4 linked regions of the Mus musculus genome follow. The protein of the gene in region 3 purifies or fractionates together with the protein of the main gene of each other region. This does not show direct contact. Links are inferred from orthologs where the notes say so. Each region holds a gene or a part of one and is shown on either strand. Other genes may lie near its edges. The genes, in order: Smad2, Smurf1, Tgfbr1 and Usp15.

What was found.
Region 1: the proteins of Tgfbr1 (region 3) and Smad2 purify together in Homo sapiens (affinity purification with western blotting; 8 studies listed by BioGRID and IntAct, with this or other methods). This does not show direct contact. The link is inferred for Mus musculus from reciprocal best matches to the Homo sapiens genes TGFBR1 and SMAD2.
Region 2: the proteins of Tgfbr1 (region 3) and Smurf1 purify together in Homo sapiens (affinity purification with western blotting; 3 studies listed by BioGRID). This does not show direct contact. The link is inferred for Mus musculus from reciprocal best matches to the Homo sapiens genes TGFBR1 and SMURF1.
Region 4: the proteins of Tgfbr1 (region 3) and Usp15 purify together in Homo sapiens (affinity purification with western blotting; 4 studies listed by BioGRID). This does not show direct contact. The link is inferred for Mus musculus from reciprocal best matches to the Homo sapiens genes TGFBR1 and USP15.

The regions. Positions count from the first base shown.
Region 1 is NC_000084.6:76,239,456-76,244,937, forward strand, and holds the start of Smad2 (mothers against decapentaplegic homolog 2), read left to right. Parts: upstream 1-2,245; 5' UTR 2,246-2,524; intron 2,525-2,627; exon of another isoform or gene 2,628-2,777; intron 2,778-5,482. UniProt on the Homo sapiens protein: Receptor-regulated SMAD (R-SMAD) that is an intracellular signal transducer and transcriptional modulator activated by TGF-beta (transforming growth factor) and activin type 1 receptor kinases.
Region 2 is NC_000071.6:144,895,866-144,900,630, forward strand, and holds part of Smurf1 (E3 ubiquitin-protein ligase SMURF1), read right to left. Parts: intron 3,634-4,765; coding exon 3,500-3,633; intron 3,348-3,499; coding exon 3,282-3,347; intron 2,194-3,281; coding exon 2,118-2,193; intron 952-2,117; exon of another isoform or gene 867-951; coding exon 625-866; intron 1-624. UniProt on the Homo sapiens protein: E3 ubiquitin-protein ligase that acts as a negative regulator of BMP signaling pathway. Mediates ubiquitination and degradation of SMAD1 and SMAD5, 2 receptor-regulated SMADs specific for the BMP pathway.
Region 3 is NC_000070.6:47,351,057-47,356,529, reverse strand, and holds the start of Tgfbr1 (TGF-beta receptor type-1 isoform 1 precursor), read right to left. Parts: upstream 3,309-5,473; 5' UTR 3,219-3,308; coding exon 3,134-3,218; exon of another isoform or gene 2,292-3,133; intron 1-2,291. UniProt on the Homo sapiens protein: Transmembrane serine/threonine kinase forming with the TGF-beta type II serine/threonine kinase receptor, TGFBR2, the non-promiscuous receptor for the TGF-beta cytokines TGFB1, TGFB2 and TGFB3.
Region 4 is NC_000076.6:123,194,220-123,199,784, forward strand, and holds the start of Usp15 (ubiquitin carboxyl-terminal hydrolase 15), read right to left. Parts: upstream 2,801-5,565; 5' UTR 2,697-2,800; coding exon 2,608-2,696; exon of another isoform or gene 1-2,607. UniProt on the Homo sapiens protein: Hydrolase that removes conjugated ubiquitin from target proteins and regulates various pathways such as the TGF-beta receptor signaling, NF-kappa-B and RNF41/NRDP1-PRKN pathways.

The sequences.
Region 1 (5,482 bases), on a different chromosome or scaffold from region 3:
ATGCTCCCATTTCAATGTTCCTGGAGACTGCATCAGTAGCCAGGTTGCCCCCTATTCCCTTTTTCAGTCTTTTAGAACCTATAGCACAGTGGTTCTCAACCTGTGGGTCGTGACCCCTTCAACAATCCTCCAACTCCAAAAATATATTCAAATTACAATTCATAACAGTAGCAAATAGTTATGAAGCAGCAATGCAAATAATTTTATGGCTGGGGGTTAACACAACTTGAGGAGCTGTTAAAGGGTCCCAGCATTAGGAAGGTTGAGAAACCATTGCTCTAGAAACCAAGCCTTGGAGGGCTGTGTAAACGGAGGAGTTATGAGCTCAAAGTCTGACACTTTGGAGAGATGGTTTAACTCAAGAAACACACACACACACACACACACACACACACACACACACACACACATATATATATATATATTTGGAATCTACCCAGCCTTGCTTCCCCCTCCCCACACCAACTCCTCGTGTGGACACCCAAATCCACATATGAACCACACAATGCTTTTTAAAAAATGTTTAAGATCACTTTTAACAGGGCATTCTGTATTAAAGCTGTTGATTTCTATCAGTATAAAGAAGGGTTGTAAGTCAGAACCAGTTTTCCTCCTTCCAATCTGAGCACCATTTGTCTTAACTACATTCCCAGGTGGCTCTGGAAGGCTGAAACAAGAAAGTTCCTTAACTGATGCCCCTCAAACTTCACTTTTATTTTGGTGGTGCTGGGGTTAAAATCAGGGCCTAGGATGGGCCACACAAGTGCTCTGCCCGGGAAGCTCTATCCTCTGCCCATTAACGTGGGAATTATGTGGACTTCCTCCAAAACTGCTAACAGAAGAAACCACCCTCTGAAGGTGACTTTCTGCTAAGTTCTTGTTAGCATAAATATTTGTCCATAAGCAAAGGGAAGTTAATGATCTTTATCTTTCCTTTAATTTCAAAGTCCTGTTCATGTTTACATTCATGATTTCTTTTTAATTATGGAAGTCTATAACATTTTTCATTTATAATATGTAAGTTGGTATCATGATCATATAAGTTCGTACCACTCTGTCAAAGGTCTTGGATTTGGAGTAGAGTTGCGTTCAAAACTATGACTGGCTTACATCTGGGGTGAGCCACATCTTTCCCCTAAGAATAGTGGTGAAGATTTTGAAAGCCTATTTTAAAAACCCTGAATGTCTGAAGGGAAGAGCAAATAACTCAAGGTCCACATACAGACCCCTGCTCTGGGATGCCCTCACATCTGAGGAGAGAGCATGCTCCACTCTAAAGTGCTTCAAGCACTATTGTGTTGGTTCTCCTGCACTGCTCTGTAGTGCTAGTGAGGCTTGCTGGATTAACGTATAGGTGGGCACGACCAACGAAACTATTTTACCACTAGCAACCTGAAAGAGGCATTGCAAATTTAGGTTTATTATCCTAACACAGTCTTTCATCTGCCGGGGTTGAGTCAAAATCAACCTGGTCACACCACTGCGAGTAGTCTGAAATTTGGGAACTTGGTGAGAAAAGTCTAGGAACAGGGACACAGCGAAGGAAAAATGTGGTAGAGAGAAGCCAGCAAATCAAGGAGCACACGCATAGGTGCTCACACTTCACAATGAGCATTCGAAGTGTGTAGCACTAATACTTTACTTCAGAAGAACCCACGGCTCGGGCTGGAGAAACACACCCAGGAGCTGCCCAGCCCTAATACCAACCGCACGGACAAGAACAGCTCGGCGGTTTTCGCCACCCGCCCCCGCCCCCCTCCAAGCACGAGGCCCCGCCCACTCATTTGCATAGGGCGCGCCCCTCAGCGGCCAGGACCCAGGCTGCTTCAGAGCTCTGCCAGCCCAAGCGGCTCAGACCCGGCTGGGGGCGGGCCCGGGCCGGAGCACGTGTCCATTCCGGCCTCACGACGGAGGTGGGCGAGGGCTTAGCCGCGGCGCTCCACCCAGAGGCGCCGGGGCGGGGGTCTGCGGGCGTGGCACGCCGCGCGGCCTTCCGCGATCCTCCACGAGCCCGGTGGGAGCGCGCCGGACACGAACTCAAGCGCAACCGCGGGCGTACCAACCCACCCGGCCTCGCCTCGCCTCACGCTCGACGGGGAAGGCGGAACCAATCAGCGAGCGACGTTTCCCTTCCGATTCCAGGCCCCCGACGCGGTGCTCACACCCCGGGCTCCCCGGTCGCTGATTGGCTGCGCGCGCCGCCGGTCCCGGCCGGAGGCGGGAGTCGGCGCCCCGCGCCTGCCCGCGCCCCGCTCGGCCCCCGGCCCTGCCCGCGGCGCCCGGCCTCCTTCCGTCCCTGCCGTGCTCCCTCCGTCTTCCGTGCGCGCCCGCTCGGCCGGCGTGCCTCACGCCTAACGGGCGGCCGCGGGCGCCAATCAGCGGGCGGCAGGGTGCCAGCCCGGGGCTGCGCCGGCGAATCGGCGGGGTCCGCGGCTCGGGGAGGGAGGCGGGGCTACCGCGCGCGGCGGTGGAGGAGCAGCTCGCCAAGCCTGCAGCTCGCGAGCGCCGAGCGAGCCTCCCGGAGGTAGGTGCGCGGCGGCCAGGGCGGTGGCGCGGGGTGCGGGCGGTGCCGGGGCGCGGGGCCGCGGCGAGCGGAGCGGGCGGCGCCCTCCTCGGCCGGCCGCGGCGAGCGCGGGCCTGGGGGCGGGGCGGGGGCCCGCGGCGCAGTTCCGCCTGCGCGCGCCCACTCCTCCGGCAGCGCGGAGCCCGTCGGAAGAGGAAGGAACAAAAGGTCCGGGGCCCGGCTCGGACGGGCCGGGACCAGGCGCTGGGTGCAGGTAAAGCCGGGGCGCCCGGGGAACCGGGCAGGAGTGTGCCGGGCCGGGTCACGTGGCCGCCCGTGTGGGGTGTGGCGGCGGGCCGTGGCGCGCGGGCCAGGGTCGGCGCCGTGGGCAGGGCCGCGAGCCCCCGCCCCGCCCAGCCTGACTGCGGCCCGCTTCTGTCCCGGCGCGCGGCCGCTCTCGCTCTGTGCCTTGCAGAATGGCCCCGGAGTCGAGTTAGGGGCGTGTGGTACTTTGCTTATACTTTTCCTTTTTCTTTTTCTTTTTTTTTTCTTTCCTGTGGCCTTTGTTAACCGTAACAGTCGCGGGTTCCGAATCACTGTGTGTACTCAGAAACACGCTCGTGGCTGAGGCTGCCCGGGCTCATCCTCCACGCACTTGGGAAAGTTGCTCCGTGGGTACAGCCTATTAGTTTCTAATCACACGCCTTTAGGAAGCATGCTAATTGAGTGCACTTATTTCAGATTGGTTTTCACAATCGGTGCTTGGATTTATTTTCTTCTAGGGATACTGTCCTTGGGCCAGGTACTTTTGTCCTCTTACCCTTGCGTGTTATGGTTTCCTTGTGAATCTAAACAAAAGAAAAACAAAAATCGAGGTTGGTTTTGTTATTCATTCCTTTTACACTTAAAGGCAAACACTACCTGTTTGTTGTCACGCCAATAAAAAAGAAAAAAAATGCCCAGGTGAAAATAATTCCGCAGCAGCATCCCGCCTTATTGTCATGCCTTGTTAGGACATTCTAAATGGCGATGTTTGTAACTAATGAAACGACGTGTAAATAAATGAACCATCAGGCAAATTTATCTGAAGATTATCTTTACAAAAAATGGCACCCTGGTATGTCAATTTACAAAATTTCTTGTTTCTGATTTCCTGACTTAACCCCATAACACTGATGAAAAGGATTTTTCTATTGAGCCTAACACTAGAATGCATTTGCTGCCGTGCTGGAAATATCTTTCCTATTAGTTTACTTTGGTTCCTGTAAAAAGCATTTTTCCCCTTAGCAGAGGCGTGTTAAGTAGTTAAAACGAAGTTGGAATAGTTTCAATCCATGAGTTAGTGAAGCAGATGGAATCCAGACATGGGAGAAGCAAATGTATTATAGTTTTAAGTTTTTTCTTTTTCTTTTTATTCCCCCCTCTCCCATTTAGCTATGAAACAGCTCCATAAAGAGGGGTTCCCCCCTCCCATTAGATCATTTGGCAAATGTTTATGTTTAATCCATAAAGTAACATTGATGTTACTTTTAAAATTTCTTTGTTTTTGCATAAACTTACCTGTGGTGATGAGAAAATTTGTGGACTTTTAAAAGCTGAATGCCCAGGTACATGCTTAATGTTAAAATCCAGTTAACTTAATTAAGTTTAAGGGTCCTCACTGGCCAGGCTTAATGACTGAACTGGGATTACAAACATCTCTTGTGTTCCTTTGCAAGACACTACTCTTAAATACTGTTGTTTCCTGTTTTATAGCTACACATAAAGTGATTCGTGTTGTAGGTGTTCAGCAAAGTTTGGTCTTTAGGGTTCTGAAGTACTTGTCACTAAATAGCTATGCAATCTGTATGGCTCGTAAAGTGAGTGTTGGGAGAAACTGCAGAGTAATTTCCTTTTAGGCTTGGTTGTGTGATTTAACTCTCATTAGGAATATTGGGGATGGTTTTCTATATAGCCCTTTCCTTCATGTGGACAAAGAGAATACTAATTCAGTAGAACAAGAGGTCTCTCATTTTGATGCATATAGAACATGTTGCTGTAGTCAGTACTTTGCATGAGGGAGGCTGGGTGAACACACAAGTAAACTTAACTAGGTTAGCTGCAGAACTGGGTGAACAGACAAGTAAACTTAACTAGGTTAGCTGCAGAACTGGGTGAACACACAAGTAAACTTAACTAGGTTAGCTGCAGAACTGGGTGAACAGACAAGTAAACTTAACTAGGTTAGCTGCAGAACTGGGTGAACAGACAAGTAAACTTAACTAGGTTAGCTGCAGAACTGGGTGAACACACAAGTAAACTTAACTAGGTTAGCTGCAGAACTGGGTGAACAGACAAGTAAACTTAACTAGGTTAGCTGCAGAACTGGGTGAACACACAAGTAAATTTAACTAGGTTAGCTGCAGAACTGGTGGTTGAGGACCTTTTGAGTTTTTAGATTTGACTTTTGGGCCTAACGGTTCCCTTCATGCTTGGTTTGGATGCCGTTGGTTTAATTGTTTGGACCCAGAACCCCATGTTTGCAGCAGCCTCTTTATACAGGTGCTTTTGTGATGCATGCAGGAGCTGTATATAGTGTAGTCTGGCAGATGGAGGTTTATTCATATTCTTGGGACAAGAATCCTTTTTAGAGGGTGGAGAGAGGCATATCTTTTTAGATGCTTTGTCTGAGTAAAAGCAGAAGACACAGTTTTAGGCCCGTGGTTTCTGTAAGTGCAAAGAGGTTTTCTACTAAGTATTGCAAAGGTGTATCAGACACTGACTATAGAGAATTCAGAGTTACTTTATTGGACAAGTAACACTTACACAACAAACGTTCTGTGGCTAGTCACCCCACTACTCCTCAGTGGAATTAGGGAAATGAGAGCTCCATGTCTTGTGGCCAAGGCCCCAAAGTAAGAAAGTTAATTACGTTAGAGCCTAAGTTGAGCTTGAGCATTCAATAAATCCATCCAGAGCCCCTTCCTGCAGTATACTTGC
Region 2 (4,765 bases), on a different chromosome or scaffold from region 3:
TGTATGTGGCCCAGGTCATCCAATGCCACAGTCATAGAAGGCACAGCTAAGCCATTAGCAGCTGTGCACAGCACATAGGGGCACAGGGCAAATCCCTCGATGTCCGAACTGGTTTTCTGTCACTTGATAGAAGCTAGAGTTATTTGGGAAAACAGAAGTCTTAACTGAGAAAATGCCTCCATCAGATTGGCCTGTAGGCAAGTCTGTGAGATACTTTATTGATTAGTTATTAATTTGGGATGGCCCAGCCCACTGGACAGGTGGTCCCAGATGGTATAAGGAAGCAGGGTGAGACCAGGCACAGTAGCACATGTCTGTCCTTAGTTCCACCCCTCAGGAGACAGGGGCAGATGGATCTCTGAGTTCAAGGCCAGGCTGCTCTACAGAGATAGTTCCAACCAGTCAAGACTTCAGACTGAGACCTGTCCCAAAAAACGCAAGCAGGCTGAACAAGCAGTGAGCCACACGCCTCCATGGCCCCTGCCTCAGTCCCTGCCTCCAGCTCCTACCCTGACTCCCCTTAGTGACACACTAGAACTTACAAGCCTAATAAACCCTATTCTCCACAAACTACTTTTAGTCCTGGTGTTTACCATAGCCACAGGAAGCAGACTTTACACGCACCATAGCCTTCAGGCAGCTCTGGCGACTGGTGGCCATGTGGTCGGTTCTGGGGTGTCTGTAAGGGCCCTCGAACCTCAGGATTTCGGAGTCGCTGTACCAGGAGTCTCTGATCTTGGCTTGGAGACTCCACAAACCTGCAGTTCCCGCCTCCTGCTGCTGCACCAGTACCATCTGTATATGGGGCAGGTTCCTCCATGAGGCAGCTGAGCGGCCTTCCAGGGCCTGAGTCTTCATACACTGTTCTGGAAGGGAGGGCAGAACAGGCGTGGAAACATTATGGAAGTGTCACAAGACTCAAACACGCGATGCTCTCCATCCCTCTAACGAGTGACTGTGTTCTCAATGCAAAGCTTCATGAATTCCGAGGGTCCACCAAGAGAGAAAGAGCCAATCACGATTTAGAGCTCTATCTAGCAGGGCCACCGGAGGTGCCGCTACCTGACTGGGAAGGTGTTCCTGACACTCCATTTTCTTTGTTATTTTACTCGAGGATGAAATTCTTGACTCTTAAGTACTTTTTAAACATTCTCTTCCCTCTCACAGCAGTTTCAAAACCAAATTGCCTCAATGAGTCACTTCCCTTTACAGTCAGATACTTTTTAAACTTCATATTGAAATTTTTCAATGCATGCACGACATGGAGGACCAGAACAATGGGCCTTTCCCCAAAAGCGGCAGCAGTCACAGGGGTGTCGCCAGGCTGCCCTCCACTCCTCCCCACCAAGGGGCTAGTGTCAGTTCAATCCCTGCATTTACTATCCTACCCGTATGTATTTTAGCATGGGCCACTTTGTTGTTTCTTTAAAGCCAATGACTTCTCCATTATTGTTGCTGAACCAAAATAATAATAATAAAATAATCATCACCATCATCAAACACCGGTCAATGTTCAAATTTCTCTTAATTGTCTTATAAATCATGATTAAGACAGAGTCCAGGGCCTGGGGAGACAGCTCAGTTGGGAAAATGCTTCCCGCACAAGCAAGGAGGACTTGACTCAAAGCCTAGCTCATGTGGTGGTGTGTGCATATAATCAGCACAGGGGAGAAGGAGCCAGGTAGCCCTGGTTGGCCTGCCTGGGCTAACTGGTGAGCCCCAAGCCAATGAGCCTGTCTAGAGAGTCAAGGTTGCTGCCCCCTAGGCAAGGGCATCAAGGCCGATCTGCACAAACACCCGCTGTTTCTTGGGCTTCTTTGTATTTTATAGCTTAGGCTGACCCAGAACTCAGGATCCTCCTGCCTGTCTCCTTAGTGCTGACATGACAGGCATACGCCATTGTGCCCAGCTAAACTCTAATTGGTAGGAACTTCCCTGTGTTGGTTCCCGAATCTCTGGGGTATAATCCCTGGGTTAATTACACCTTCCTTCACACACTAGTATGGTAGCTTGGAGCAGTTTTATCCCACATAGCAGTATATGGTTTGACACTTCTTTCCTACAGGGAAAGAGAACATGGCTGGCACCACAGGGGGCAGCATGGTAGGCATACGTACCCTTCGTTCTCCAGCAGCCCTCTGCAGTCCACCACTGACCCTCCACCGCCTATTCTGTCTCGGGTCTGTAAACTGACTACAACACAAAAGAAAAGCCCGCATTAACACCCAGGGCTGCTCGAGACCCCTGTCAGTATCACACAAAGGAAGCGAGTTTACACCTCCCCCCCTGTTTTCAGTGTGGAGCACCTCAGGCCAACAGCTGCACATACCACACAACCATTTGAGCAGTCCTTGAAAGCAGAAAGCAGAAAAGGCCCTGAGCTTCTCATGCCCCATCCCCATAAAACTGGAGAATGCAACATTTCACTCCATTAAGTTATCCATCTTAAGAAGACTAGGTTTATGTTTAGTGAAGGTACAAACCTTCAATCTAAGAAAACATTTATGTTCTAGTCTCACTGGTGCAAACAACATGTTTTACTCCTAGGTTTTCAGTTGTTTGATTTCTGCCCCGACACACCCCTCTACAAAGGAAAGAAGAAATTCCAAGTGGGATGCAATGCATGAGAACTTGATCCTCAAGTTGCTTCTGGGCGGATGCAGCACTCACTGTCTTGGGACCTGAGGCATCTGGAGTCCGAGTGACTCAGCCGGGCTGCGGCTCCACTGACTCCATGCAGCACACACACCCAGCATGTGCTTTCCCCTAACACACTGCCAACAACAGGGTGGGCAAGGAGACAGTGACTCAGAGAGGTCACTCCATCGGAATGCCTGCAGGCAATGCAGCAAGCATGCTTTAACCTTTCTCTCCACACAATGGAGTCCTCTGACTGTGAGTCACATTACACAGAACTTGTCACACACTTTCTTTGCTTTTGCAACAGAATGGGGCTTCCCAGAAAAGCCACACTCCAGCTCCTGCCCCTGTAGTCTCAACTCTTATCACCCCTGACAAGATAAGGGTCGATTGTCCGTTCCTGTGCTGAGTAGCACAACACTTATAAACCACAACCTCCCATCCTGGCTGGAGTCACTGGAACTAAGTTTCAATGACAGGATGATGGGAACCAGAGAAAAGAAAGGAAACCACACAAGAAAGGTTTAGTACTGGAGAGATGGCCCACTGTGGTCTGCCCTGGAAGCCTGTCCCCCGTCAGCACTGGGAGCAGGACGGAGGGTTCCATCCAAGTCCCTTTATGCAGATGAGAAAATTCTTACCCACTATTTGGCCACGAACTGCATCAGTATCTGAGGGATTTAGTTTGCATAGATCCAAACGCTGGTCTGCAAACAAACAATTCAAAACTTAACCCAAAGAACGTTAACTAGGGAGGAAGGCAGGAATTCTGCATTCGGCATTCAAATAAAAGTAAGACACAGGGCCGCCTAAGCTTTCCGAGGGTGCACTGAGAGGCAGAAGAGCGTCTGGTTCTTACAGCCAGTGTCTTTCAATCTGCTGATGGCATTGGAGAGCAGCCGCACACAGCCCAGGAAGCCAGCCCCCTGCTTCTTGTGGATCTTCTTGTGGTTCCACACACTGATGGTTATCGAGTCCGTTTTCCCAACATACCTGTGAGAGCACACAAACTCGTTCAGCACACAAACTCGTTCAGCACACAAACTCGTTCAGCACACGAGTCCATCGGGCCCTCACCCACATGCATCTGGCTGCCTCGGGACCCTGGCAGTGAGGGCAGAGCCACCATCCCTCATCAGGCACAGGAAAAGGACTCCCACCAGCTACACAAGCAGTGAGTGCAGGCAACCATGGTGTAATAAGCATTTTTAAATTTGTTTTTCCCTTTGTTCATTTATTTACTGTACTAGAGATCCGAACCAGGGATTTCACAGGGGCCAAAGCAAGCCCTCTACCACTGAACCACACCCTTGGTCCCTCACTGGCAAGAGTTCTACCTAAAGTGAAGAACAATAGGCAGGTGTTCTACACCTAATGCCACATGCCCAATCCTATCCCACCACCCTTAAAAGGAAACAAACAAAAGAAAAAAACCTTTTTTTATTCTGAGATGGAGTTTAAGCTCCCCAGACTGGTGCTGTGAAGCAATTTCCTTGGAATTAAAATATTCTACACCAGAAGGACTTATTGAGACTCAGGAAATTCTAAAGGAATCTCATTAAAACACAGGAAGTAAGCAACTCACAAAGTCTCAGGAAGTCCTGAAACTTAGCAGATTTACAAGGTCCCTTCCTCCCAGCCCTCCCAGAGTTAGCAGGGACTGCTGAGGAAAGAAGACTCCCCAAGCTGCTCAGCTGCCTGCAAGGCCCAGCACCGCTGGTGCTGGAGTGGGTTTTCAGAACTTCGGTAGCTCCTCTAAGTCAGCCCTCACCCCACCCTCCTGTAAGGAAGTCCAGTGTGTTCATCAAGTCACAGAGTGGACCATGATGGAGAAATTACCTCAGTCTGTCTCTGTTTACATCTCCCCACATAAGAGCCAGGTTGACTGGCTCTGTAAACTAGGCAGGCCCCTGACTTGCGATGCTCCTGTCTCAGCTTCTGGAAGTGCCAGCACTACAGGCCCCTATACCACTAGGCCCAGCATGTGATAAGATCTTGTAAAAAGGTTGATTATGCATCCCATTCTGGAAAGCAGTGACCCAGGCTTAACAGAGAACACTGGGGCCGCTTACAATTTTACTGTCTGTCCAAAATGCACAAAGGCACATGGACCAAGATAATAACC
Region 3 (5,473 bases):
GAGAAGTTCTGTCCTCAAATTCCTACAAAAGAGATAAAATGAAGCATGCAGCAAAGACTGAAGAGTCAGGAACTAGTGGGAAAGCAGCTATCACTAGAACTCAGGAGTTTGCAGTCCTGAGACATCTTTCCAATGGAACAATCGTAATTCCTAGCCTCACATGGGAAACCTTCAAACCTCACTGGAAAATCCAGGATAGTTTGGCATCTGTTCATACAAAATCCTCCATGACAGAACACAACAAAAACCATGTAGATTTAGGGGATAACTAGCAGTACTAAGCTGGTAGTTGCTCAGCAAGAGAGGATGTTAGGGACTTTTTCCAAGAAAGCCCTGAAATTGCAGGCAGCAAACAGCATTCTAACAAGTGATGCAAATATAAACAAGTAATATTGTGTATTTGTCCAGGGATAAGGGATCAATTTCCCTACAAAAATCTATATTGGAGAAAACATATGCTAGCAGAGAAATATAAATAACAGACAGTAAAGAGCAATTTCAAGTTTTAAGAGAAGCTAAATTATAAAGAAAAGCTGTGCATTTCTTCAGAATGTATAAAAGGCTACACTGAAACAACCTAACGAAATGAGACAAGGTGAACTTATCTAGGTCTAGCGTCTTCTTTTTGGGGGGTGGGGTTGAGATAAGACCTCTATATTATGATGTCCTAGAACTCACTATGAGATCAGAATCTGCTGAGTGCTGAGATTAAAGGCATGAGCCACAGTGCCCTGCAGGCCATAGCTTAAACTGATTCCTAATTCCACATAGAGATGCTGGGTCATATAACAATCTGGCAACAGTAAAGGACTTGTGAATGTATAACACCCCAAAATTAATTCAAAATCAACTGAGTAATGAATCTGAGGTGTTTCTGGCAATCCATGCTTATGTTGCAAGATGCAACTTCACTACAGTCTTGGTTCTAAACACACATGCTATCGTGCTATGCAGTGCTAACACAGTCCAGACTATTATTTTATGAGTTTTAATGTTTTTATTGAATATACAAAGTTTTCTATTCTTCCAGAAACATACACAAACTACAGAAAAGACTTTCATTCCTCATGTATATCAAAGTGGTATATCCTTGACCAATTGTATTGTGTTAAAATGTCTGATTTTAAAAACTGCTGTTTAAGTTGCTGACTTAAATTTCATTTTAAAAATTATTACATAAATCTCATCTTGTGATTAAGATAGAATTGCAACAATTTCTGAAATGGTCCTAAACATCTGTAATTATGTGGAGTCGCCAGCACTGGATGATTCAGTTCTTTAAGAAAAAATAAACTCACCCATCTCATTACTACAGAAATGTGCTTTAATCTTTAATAAATGGTAAAACTGTATATACCAATGAATTGTTTTAAAATAATTTTATTTATGCTCTATTATCAGTACATTTGATTTATATACCCATCTTTTACATTTTGTATGTGACTCATGGGCACATACAATCTTTTGAGAAAAGAGGGTGGCAAATGGGGAAAGTTTATGAAGTACTAGTCTAGGTTTTGAGCAATAAAAACATCTAGGCTAATTTTGTATTACATCATTGCCTAAGTAGGCTATAAAGTCCTCCAGGACATGAACCAGCCTTCTCAGCATCCACGTCAATACTGCTAAATGCATGAACGTGTCCTGCTTTGTTTTAGGTAGAAAAGAATTAATTACTTTACCCAAATAACTGTTAGATATGGTCACTTATAGTTGATGCATAATTATAACAATTCTCCCACTTTGTCCACCATTATTTCCTTCCTAAGCCAATGTCAAAAACCCATTGTATCTTCTACTGTAGACCTATGTAAAGAGAATGTTCAAGTAAACTAAGAAACTGATGGCTAAGTTATGTTATCAAATATCAACTGTTCTTTAAGTGAGTCATGCTACTTTGGTGTAACAGGTGCACAGATTTTGAACCCTGAAAGCCTAAGTGCAAATCCTAATTTCTGCACTTACTAAGAACTTAATCTTCTGCACCTCAGTTTTCATGTCAATATACAGGACAAATACTGGTACTGCGAGGGTTCTGATACTGTGTCTTTTACATCTGCATTATAATCAACTCCCAATAAACAGTAACTATTAAGTTTAATCATAGTTGGCATCCACAGTCTGGAGAGACTTTTGTTTTGGCTTGTTTTGCTTTTTAAAATGTTGTTATCCAATTTCCGCAACAAAAATGTATTTTCACTGTATGCAGGTTGCTAATGCCGAGCCTCAGTATTTTGCTTTCTCCTATTTTAATTGGTTCCTGACAAAGTTTTTTTCAATCTTCCCTCCAGAGGTGACAACCAGTATCACGACCGGCTTTAATATTTTGGGAAACCACACATTTCCCTTCAAACCCCAGCTACACAGAGGTCTGGTTTTAAAACTACCGCTTAGGGAAATGATACACCCAAAGCAACGATCCCCTCGAGAAAAGGAATAATTTGATCAATTCTACAGAACCGTTCCCATTCAAACGTTCCCAAATCTGCAGAGTGAGCAAACGTTCAAGTTTCTACTAGCAAGAAGACAATCTGCAGCCTTCTGGTTACTGGACTCTGAACTCTTCCCAGACTCACGAAGCGAGAACATTCCGCGCATCTTCGCGCCTGCTTCTCACACAAAGCCCCTGGTTGAAGAAAAGTCGCCCTAGGCGGGCGTCGGCACTCACGGCGGTGCGGCCCACCCGGGGTCTCTGCCCACGGCGCCCCTTTCGACCCTCCGGGGAGCCCTCCAAGCGCCCGGCCCCGGAGCGCCTCCACGCCGGTGCCCGCCCACGCCCCAACAGCTTCAGGCCGGGGCGCATTTAGGCAGTGGAATCAGGGGGCCACGGTCCCGGCCGGCCTCGCACCCCTAAGGGCAGCCCCCGACCTCGGCAGGCTCGCCAGCCGCTGCCCCCCGGGAGCCCAAGAGGGCCGGCCTCTGCTCGGTGCTCCGCCACCCGCGCTCGACACCGCCCCCGCCCCGCCTCTCCTCCCCGCCCCGGCTCGCGTGGCGCCTGCCGGGTCAGGAGCGCCCGGCCGGCCGGGCGCCGCCACCTGCGCCCCCGGCCCCGCGCCATGTTTGAGAAAGAGCTGAAGCGAGCCAGAGGCCCGGCCCGGCCCGCGCGCCCCGCAGCCACCCGCCCGCCACTCACCCTTCGCCCCCGGGAGCAGCGTCGCCGCCGCCACCAACACGATGAGGAGCTGCGGACGACGTGGAGCAGCGGCCGCCGCCTCCATGGTCCCGCCGCCACTGTTTGTGGCCCGGCCCGGCCCCGGCCGCAGCTTCTCCTCAGGAAGCCTCGCCCCTCCTCGCCCCACCTCCCCGCCGCCGCCGCGGCCTCGCTCCGGCCCTTTGTAACTGCTCGAGGGGCGTACGCCCATTGGCTGCCCGGCTCCCGCCGACCCCGCCTCCCCCGCCGCCCGCGAGCGCCCTAGCGGGACCTAGCCGAGAGCCCCGCCCGCGGGGCCCTGGGCTACCAATGAGCGGCCGTGGGTTTCTGCCTCTAACCACGCCCCCGCACTGCTGGGCCTCTGACCACGCCCCCTCACCGCTGGGCGCCTTTACTCCAGCCACAGCGGGCAGCTCGCGCTCCCGCGGCGGGTGGGGGCAGGGTCCCAGTCTGCGCGCCCGAGGGAGCCCACGGTCCCGACTGAGCGCAGGGTGTGCCTGTGAGAGTTGCTCAGGGAAAGACTGTGACCGTTGCACGCTCTTTTCTTCTACTCCAACCCCACCCTGACTTCCCCTGCACAGTCCTGCACCCGCAAAACCCAACTCTCGCCACTCGGACCCTCAATATTGTCCGGGGTTCAACTTCCCCCACCCTAGACCCGCGGCTTCCAGCCTCCCCGCAAAGACAGTCCGATTTCTTTCTGCACTCCACGTCCGCCCCAGACCTCGTCGTCCTCTCCCCAAATTCCAGTCTCAAAGTCGGAGCCCAGTTTCGGAATCCCAAGGTGGAGCTCAGACACACCCCCGAGTGGCCTCTGTGTCTCGGCACCGTAAAAAGACCCAGACTAAGGGTCCCCGCCGCCCTCCTTCCCTCCCACCTTTGCTGTCCCCGCGTGGAAGCGGAGAGGCCCACGGGTTTCGAAGGAGGGAGGATTGCCCTACGAAGAAGCATCCCGCCCCGGGGCGAAGCGGGAGCAGTCATAGGTACTTTGAGTTGTCTCCGACACTCCTGTGTAATAATTTCGAGGTGTCACTAAAAACCCAAATAAACTCAGCTCCGCTTTCATTCTGAATTCCTAATTTACTGTGAGACGCTCCACCCACCTTCCCTCTGGGACGCCAAAATGAGCTCCAGATTTGTAATTCTTCCTGTCAGACTAGTCCTTTCTTCAGACACAAACACAGTCACGGAGGCGGCCGCATGGCACCGACAGCATTTTTCCGCAGAACCTTTTAAGGAGAAAATGTTATTTTCTGTGTGATTTGAACTCGGAATTAAATAAAGCTCCGTAGTAGGAATCAGCCGGCCTCTAGTAGCTGTTGGTAAATTGCTTTATAGCCACTTTCCAAGAGTTTGATCCTGCTTATGAAAGCAAACCGTGGGGGCTAAGAGCTGGGGTCTGAGACTGCTCCTCGGCTCCAGCTAGGACACGCTTCAGCAAGTCCTCAACCTGCCAGAACCTGAACAGGCCTGCTCTCTGGGACTCCAGAACCATCAGTTCCTGCCTCCCCTGGCTCCCCTGGCCCCCCTGGCTCAAATGCCCTGAGGTTACAGGGACTAAATTTGACCAGCTTCTAATGAAATCTCTCTGGGAGATATAAAGAGCCTGACACACCTAAAATCTCCAGTGACTGCCCCCGCCTCACCCCCACCCCTAAAGCCTTGTACTTCCTAGGCAAGTACTCTACTCATAAGCTATACCCCCAGCTCTTGTGCTCCTATGTGCACCGTATGCAAGTAGTGCTTGTGGGGTCCAGAAGAGGGCGTCCAATCACTTGGAACTGGAGTGACACCTGGAGTGGAACTGTGAGCCACCTAACAAGGATGCTAAGAACGGAACCACTTCCTCTGCAAGAGCAGCAGTCTCTTAACTATTAACCTATCTCTCCGGCCCCCAGCCCTTGGTTTTTAAAGATGGGGGTCTCACTATGCAAACCAGGCTAGACTGAAACTCGGAATCCTCCTTCCTTAGTCCTCCACCTCCCCTCCCCCAGGCCTGGGGTTGCAGCCACATGCCAAGATGCCCCCCCTATTTTTCTTTTTCTGATCTAGTCTGTGTCTTGCATAAGATCTCAAGAGATTTTTATGCTATGCATGAATAATTAATCTCATAGGAATTTTTTCTCTGGTTATCTTTAATGGGTTGCAAATATTAAAAGCTCCCATCCCACTTATAAATGGGACTGAATCACAAGTCCAGAGTGCCTTAGTGACATAATGTGTCTGGAACAGTGTCTGGGACATAGTAAATATTTAGTTAATACCATTTACTTTGCCCCCTCCCCTTTGCATGATGTTAACCTTGAGTCTAACCCAATGCTT
Region 4 (5,565 bases), on a different chromosome or scaffold from region 3:
AAATTTTCTAAATTCTAATTTAACTTTGCTTATGGTTTCCTCACTGTCTTGTCAGAACGGAAACAGACAAACAACTAGCATTGTGAGACTACCGATTTATTCCTTGTCAATGAGTGTCACCTTGCTAGCTCACCTGTCATAGGGAGAACTCTTGTACCACTGTTTACCTACTTCTTACTGCACGTCCAGTGCCAGTCGTACAGAATGCTCTCTTTATCTCAGCACAACTTGTGTACTCAAATCACCACCCATAAACAAATAAACAGAGATGGGTATTCATGAAGACCCAAATCAAATACAAATATCTGCCTAGGTAGTTGAGTTAGTTTGCAAAGTGCTCAGGAGCTAATGTGGTGAAATTTAACGCACCTCACTATAATTTCAAAACTCTGTACGAAGATTTCCAGATTATGGTAAGCCTATCTCTTTTTTTCTTAGTAGCAGAATCAGCATGAAGAACTGTATTAAAAGGCAGCATCATTAGGAATGTTGAGAACCACTGATTTACACAAAATAGAAAATTAACAAGGAGGTAAAACTTGCATATTTAGCTGCTGCCTAAAAACTGGACTTAAGTTCTTTCTTGAAATTAAGGCATTGTAACAACCCAAGTATAGACTTAACTTGTACATTTTGACGTGGTTTACGGTAACTGTCAAGAAAAATATACTCGCTTAAAAATAACCAACTTTAAAAGTAGTTTAATATCCACAATACAGGTATTTCTTAAATCATATATTACCATGAACACCAATTATACGTGATATTACTCAACAGAAAAACATTAGTGAGAAAACTATCCACATTCTAAAAAATATTTCTATTTTATCGGTAGTCATATTTATATTTGTATGATACAATAAATGAGTGAATTGGTTTTTAAAAAATGTTCTTCAATATACCAGAGAGAAGAAGCTTGAATTTATCTGTTAAGATCGCACAGGCCAAGGGGAGCATAGGTGTTCTAGGGAATGCCCGATTTCTTCTCAGCAATAAACTCCGTAAGAAAAACAAAAGCAGACTATAAGCAATAATGACTTAAGCCTCTGCAAGGCTGTAATGCAACAAGTGTGTTTTCCATCATCAAGGTTCTTAATTACACAAAGTGTTTGCCGTCTTACAAACTAAGGATCCAAGAACTTCAATTCAGGTCCCCCAGCTGTCGCCTATTAGCTAACTCGAAAATGATTCCAACCCCACAGCACTTGTCTGGAATTAATGGCAGAAATAAAAAAGATCACTAAAACTTAGTATTTCATGAATACCAGATAGTTCAGAATATTTAGCTGAATTAATATAGAGCAAACACAATAACATCGTTATTGCTCTTTGAACAGATGGAGATGCGGAGGCTCAATGGCTTGGATGAATTTGCTTCCAAGTCACACTGCAAAGTATGAGGTGGACCTGTGAATAAATCAGGTCTAAGTCTCTTTCCACCGCGCCACACTGGAGTGCCTAACAAGCACTTGAGAACTGTGAATAAATCAGGTCTTAAGTCTCTTTCCACTAGCCACACTGGAGTACCTAACAGGCACTTGAGACGCTATAAACCACTAGTACGGAGACAGAAGGAAGGAAAAGTAACTTAGGAAGAAAGAAAGAAAGAAAGAAAGAACGAAAGAACACACAGGCACACTGCCCTTCCCCTAAAACAGAACTTTCCCTTTATTTAAATAATTCTGTAAGTTAACTGCTTTGGCTGACGAGTGTTAAATTTTGTACATGCTTCCTCTAGTTATTTAGGTACAGTACCCTCTTATTTTGGCATTTTACAAGTTTGAATATGAGCAAGCCTTTAAGCTTCAAGTGGACTTATCTACTTTCTGCAGGCCTACGTTATCCTTCAAACCGGAGGGAAGGGCTGCACTTCCAAACAGAAGCGCTGCCGGCTCCTATCGAGCCAGGAGCAAAGCACAGGACCACGTGGTGCCTCTCTCTCTCTCTCTCTCTCTCTCTCTCTCTCTCTCTCTCTCTCTCTCTCTCTCAAGAAAAAAAAATTAAAAAAACAAGGTCCCTACACCGCTCCCTCCTTTTTGACAAGGAAGTGGAAATTAGGGGTTTCCTTTTCAGCGGAGCCCTGACACACACCACCTGTGTGGTCCCCGCCGCAAACATCCTGAAGCCCGGCTCCCGGAAGACTACAAGGATCGGAATAATGGGGAACTTGGGTGCGGACGACGCCGGGGAAGGAGTGACCAGAGAAGCGCGGCGGGCGAGCGAGGAGGAGCGGCGCGACCGGGATCTGTCAAAAAAAAAAAAAAAAAAAAAAAAAAAAAAAAAAAAACCAGCGGCAGGCAGGCTCACGCCGAGCCACTGCACCCGGGCTCCGCCAAGGCCCCAAGTGGGAGCGGCACTGCCGGAGGGAGGAGGACCCGGAGCCCCGCGAGCCCCGGCCGCCGCTTCCGCGCAGCCCCGGGCGCGCACCGCCCACCGCGAGCCCCGGCCCTCTGCGCCGGTCCAACCTTTGCCCCCAAAATCTGCTGCCTGAGCGGCCGCCGCCGGACCTGTCCGCACCTGTCACCAGCCGGCGACACCAGCCCACCGCTCCCGCCCAGCTCTCCGCCAGCCTCGGGCCCCCGCGGGCCCCGCGACCCCGTTCCCTACCAGGTGTCCCCTTTCCGGAGCGAGGTTTTGAGCAGCGTCGCGATGTCAGAACGCTGGGTGTCCAGGTCCGCCGCTCCGCCTTCCGCCATCTTCTTCCACTAGCCGTAGCGGAGGCGGCGGCGACGGCGGCGGCACGCCCCGGAGCATTGTGGGAATGGCGTCCCCGGCCCCGCCCCGCCGGCAGGTCTGTACCAAATGGGGCGCGAGGGCGGGGGTCTGGGGGCGTGGCTCGGCGGGGAGCGCGGCGGGTGCGCGCCTGCGCCCTGCTGCCCCCTCGGGTCCCCGCACGCCCCGCAGCACGGCGTGGTCGCCGCCGCCGCCCCAGACCTCTGAGTTTGCACGGTTCTCACCGGGTGCCGCGCTTTCTCTCCCTGCCTTTGCCCTGCCCTGCTCGGACTCTCCTTGCCATGCTGGCCCTTTTCTTGCCGCAGCCGCCTCCAAACCCATGTTTTTGCGGGTTCACTCCTACTGGAGGGCGGGGCCGGCTGGGACATGGCAGAAAGCGCGCAGTTCCGTGACTTGGGGCTTTTCCTTTCCAGCCGCAGAGCCCAAGCCCACTGAATATTGGCACAAAGAGGGCTCTGAAACCAAAGGTTTGGGCGCAGTGCCCTTCCTAGGTTCTTCCCAGCTCTCCCATGCTTGCTGTCTGTAGGGACTTCTACCTTTCATAAGCTCTTTGTGACGCCTCCTAGCGCGCGTGGACACACACACACACACACACACACACACACACACACACACACACGTTAGCTGCAGTGCAAAACATGTCCCAGTTTCTAGGTGAACAAGCAGTTAAAGATGTATTGAATAAGGCCAGGTACTGAAGGGGGTTAGAAACGTGGGAGAAACCTCATGGGCGTCAAATTAGCATTCCCCTAGATTAAATTTCATGGTTGTATATGCCTAAAGTTAGACTCGATAATACAAGCTGCATTTGAAGGCAACAATTACAAACGGGGAAATTGAGCCTCTTAAAAATCAAATGCCAAGGTCACACGGCAACTGGAAGTGCAAGGTTATCGCACAGATTTCAAATCCCCAGTACTCAGTACCTCCATGAAAGGCTGAATTAAGATACAAACTCCGTAAAAGCTGCAACTAAGTTCTCTTTATAATTTGGCGTGTGAGTGTGCGTGTGTGTGCGTGTGTGTGCGTGTGTGTGTGTGTGTGTGTGTGTGTGTGTGTGTGTGTGCACTGCGGTTTAATGGTCTAGTACCATTCTACACCATTTGAGGCAAACGTTTCAAAATTAACTAAGGCAAAACTGCTGTTTCTAAGAATGAAGACGGCTACCTCAGTAGAACAGTAGGTGACAAGTTAAAGGATGGGCAATGGTCTCTCCATTTTTTAAGCCTCCTAGTTTTGGTGGGAAACTCAGTAAGGAAGGGGGTGCCTGCATTAGTGAGGACTGCTGGCCCATCCAAGAGAAAGCAGTGTTTCCCTGGTTAGGGTTTGTCAGCTTGACAGAAACTAAAGTCACTTGGAAAGAGGGGAACCTTAATTATGGGATTGCCTCCCTTAGAGTAGCCTGTGATGAGTCAGTGGAGCATTTTCTTGTTTAACGATCGGTGTGGTAAACCCACTGTGGGCAGGTGGTCCTGAGTTGTGTAAGAAAACAAGCTGAGCAAGCCATAAAAAGCAGTGTCCGTCCACGTACTCTGCTCTGGGTTCCTGTTGAGCTCTGGCTGTGACCTTCCCCTAGCGTAAGCCACCCAGACCCTTTCTTTCCTAAGTTGCCTTTGGTCAGAATGCTTTGTTGCAGCAATAGAAAACAACTAGCACAACCGGTGTGTATTGGCGTCATACTTGAGTGAGTCAGTATGTGACTGCTTGTTTCTGCGCAGTACTCTCTTTGTATTACTTCAGCCTCAATGAGTCTAAAAGTCATTTCCATTTACGGCTATTTCTTATGTTATTTGACCACTCCTGATTATAAAACCGAGTTTTCCTAACTATGGACATTCTCAGTTGTTATATATCCACACCCCCCATCCCCATCTTCTACCACTCTGTGAAGGAAAGCAAAGTAAGTTTTCAAAGAGAGACAACTTGGTATGCAAAGAATATGCTGTATCCTCATACATACATGGCTTCGGATCTCTAGCTGCCAACACTTAATCTGTAGTCTATTTACAAATTTAAATAGTATAATATTTATCTTAAAGGATTTTAAAAGCATGCAGTGCATTTATTTTCTAGATGAGTTGAGTGTGTGCCTGTGACAGCCTACTGTGGAGATCACAAGTCAACGTTGCAGGCGTCAGCTCTCTCTACTATGAGGGTCTCAGGGGATCAGACTTGGGTAAGTCACAATTATGCCTGCTGAGCCAAATTGCCAACCTAGCCTTTTAACAGTTTTTGAACTTTACTTTATCTTATTTTTCAGAAAGGATCCCATGCGTCCCAGGTTGTCAGTGCAACAGAAGATGACTTTGAACTTATCTGATCTGTCTGCTTCCGCCTCCCCAGTTCTGGGATGTTTCTGCAGCACTGGGCATCAAGCCCAGGGTTTCGTGCTTGCTATGTAAGCACTCTTCTGCCTGAGTCCTATCTCTAGACCCCATTAAGGATTTTTTTTTCTAAAAAAAAAAAAATGAAGATTAAATGAAACAATATGAGTTTGTTGCCTGGAACTTAATAGCCAATCAACAAATGTTAGTAGGAAGAATTGGACTGATATCAGGATAAATTGTATAGTATGTGTGTTATATCTCAATAAAGCTATTCTTAACAAAGCATTCAGGACTTTAAAGGTAAAACTGTGTCATTTGTTATTTTATAAGCATAACAGATCCATGAAGTAATAAGGCCACTGCCCTCTCTTCTAGTTTCCCACCACACAGAACTGCCAAAGTCCGCGCAGAAAAACAAACAAACAAACAAAAAACCCACAGTCATCTTCAGCTACACTGTGTTCAAGAGGAGTCAGTTCACGTTATACGTCAGGCTGATGAGATC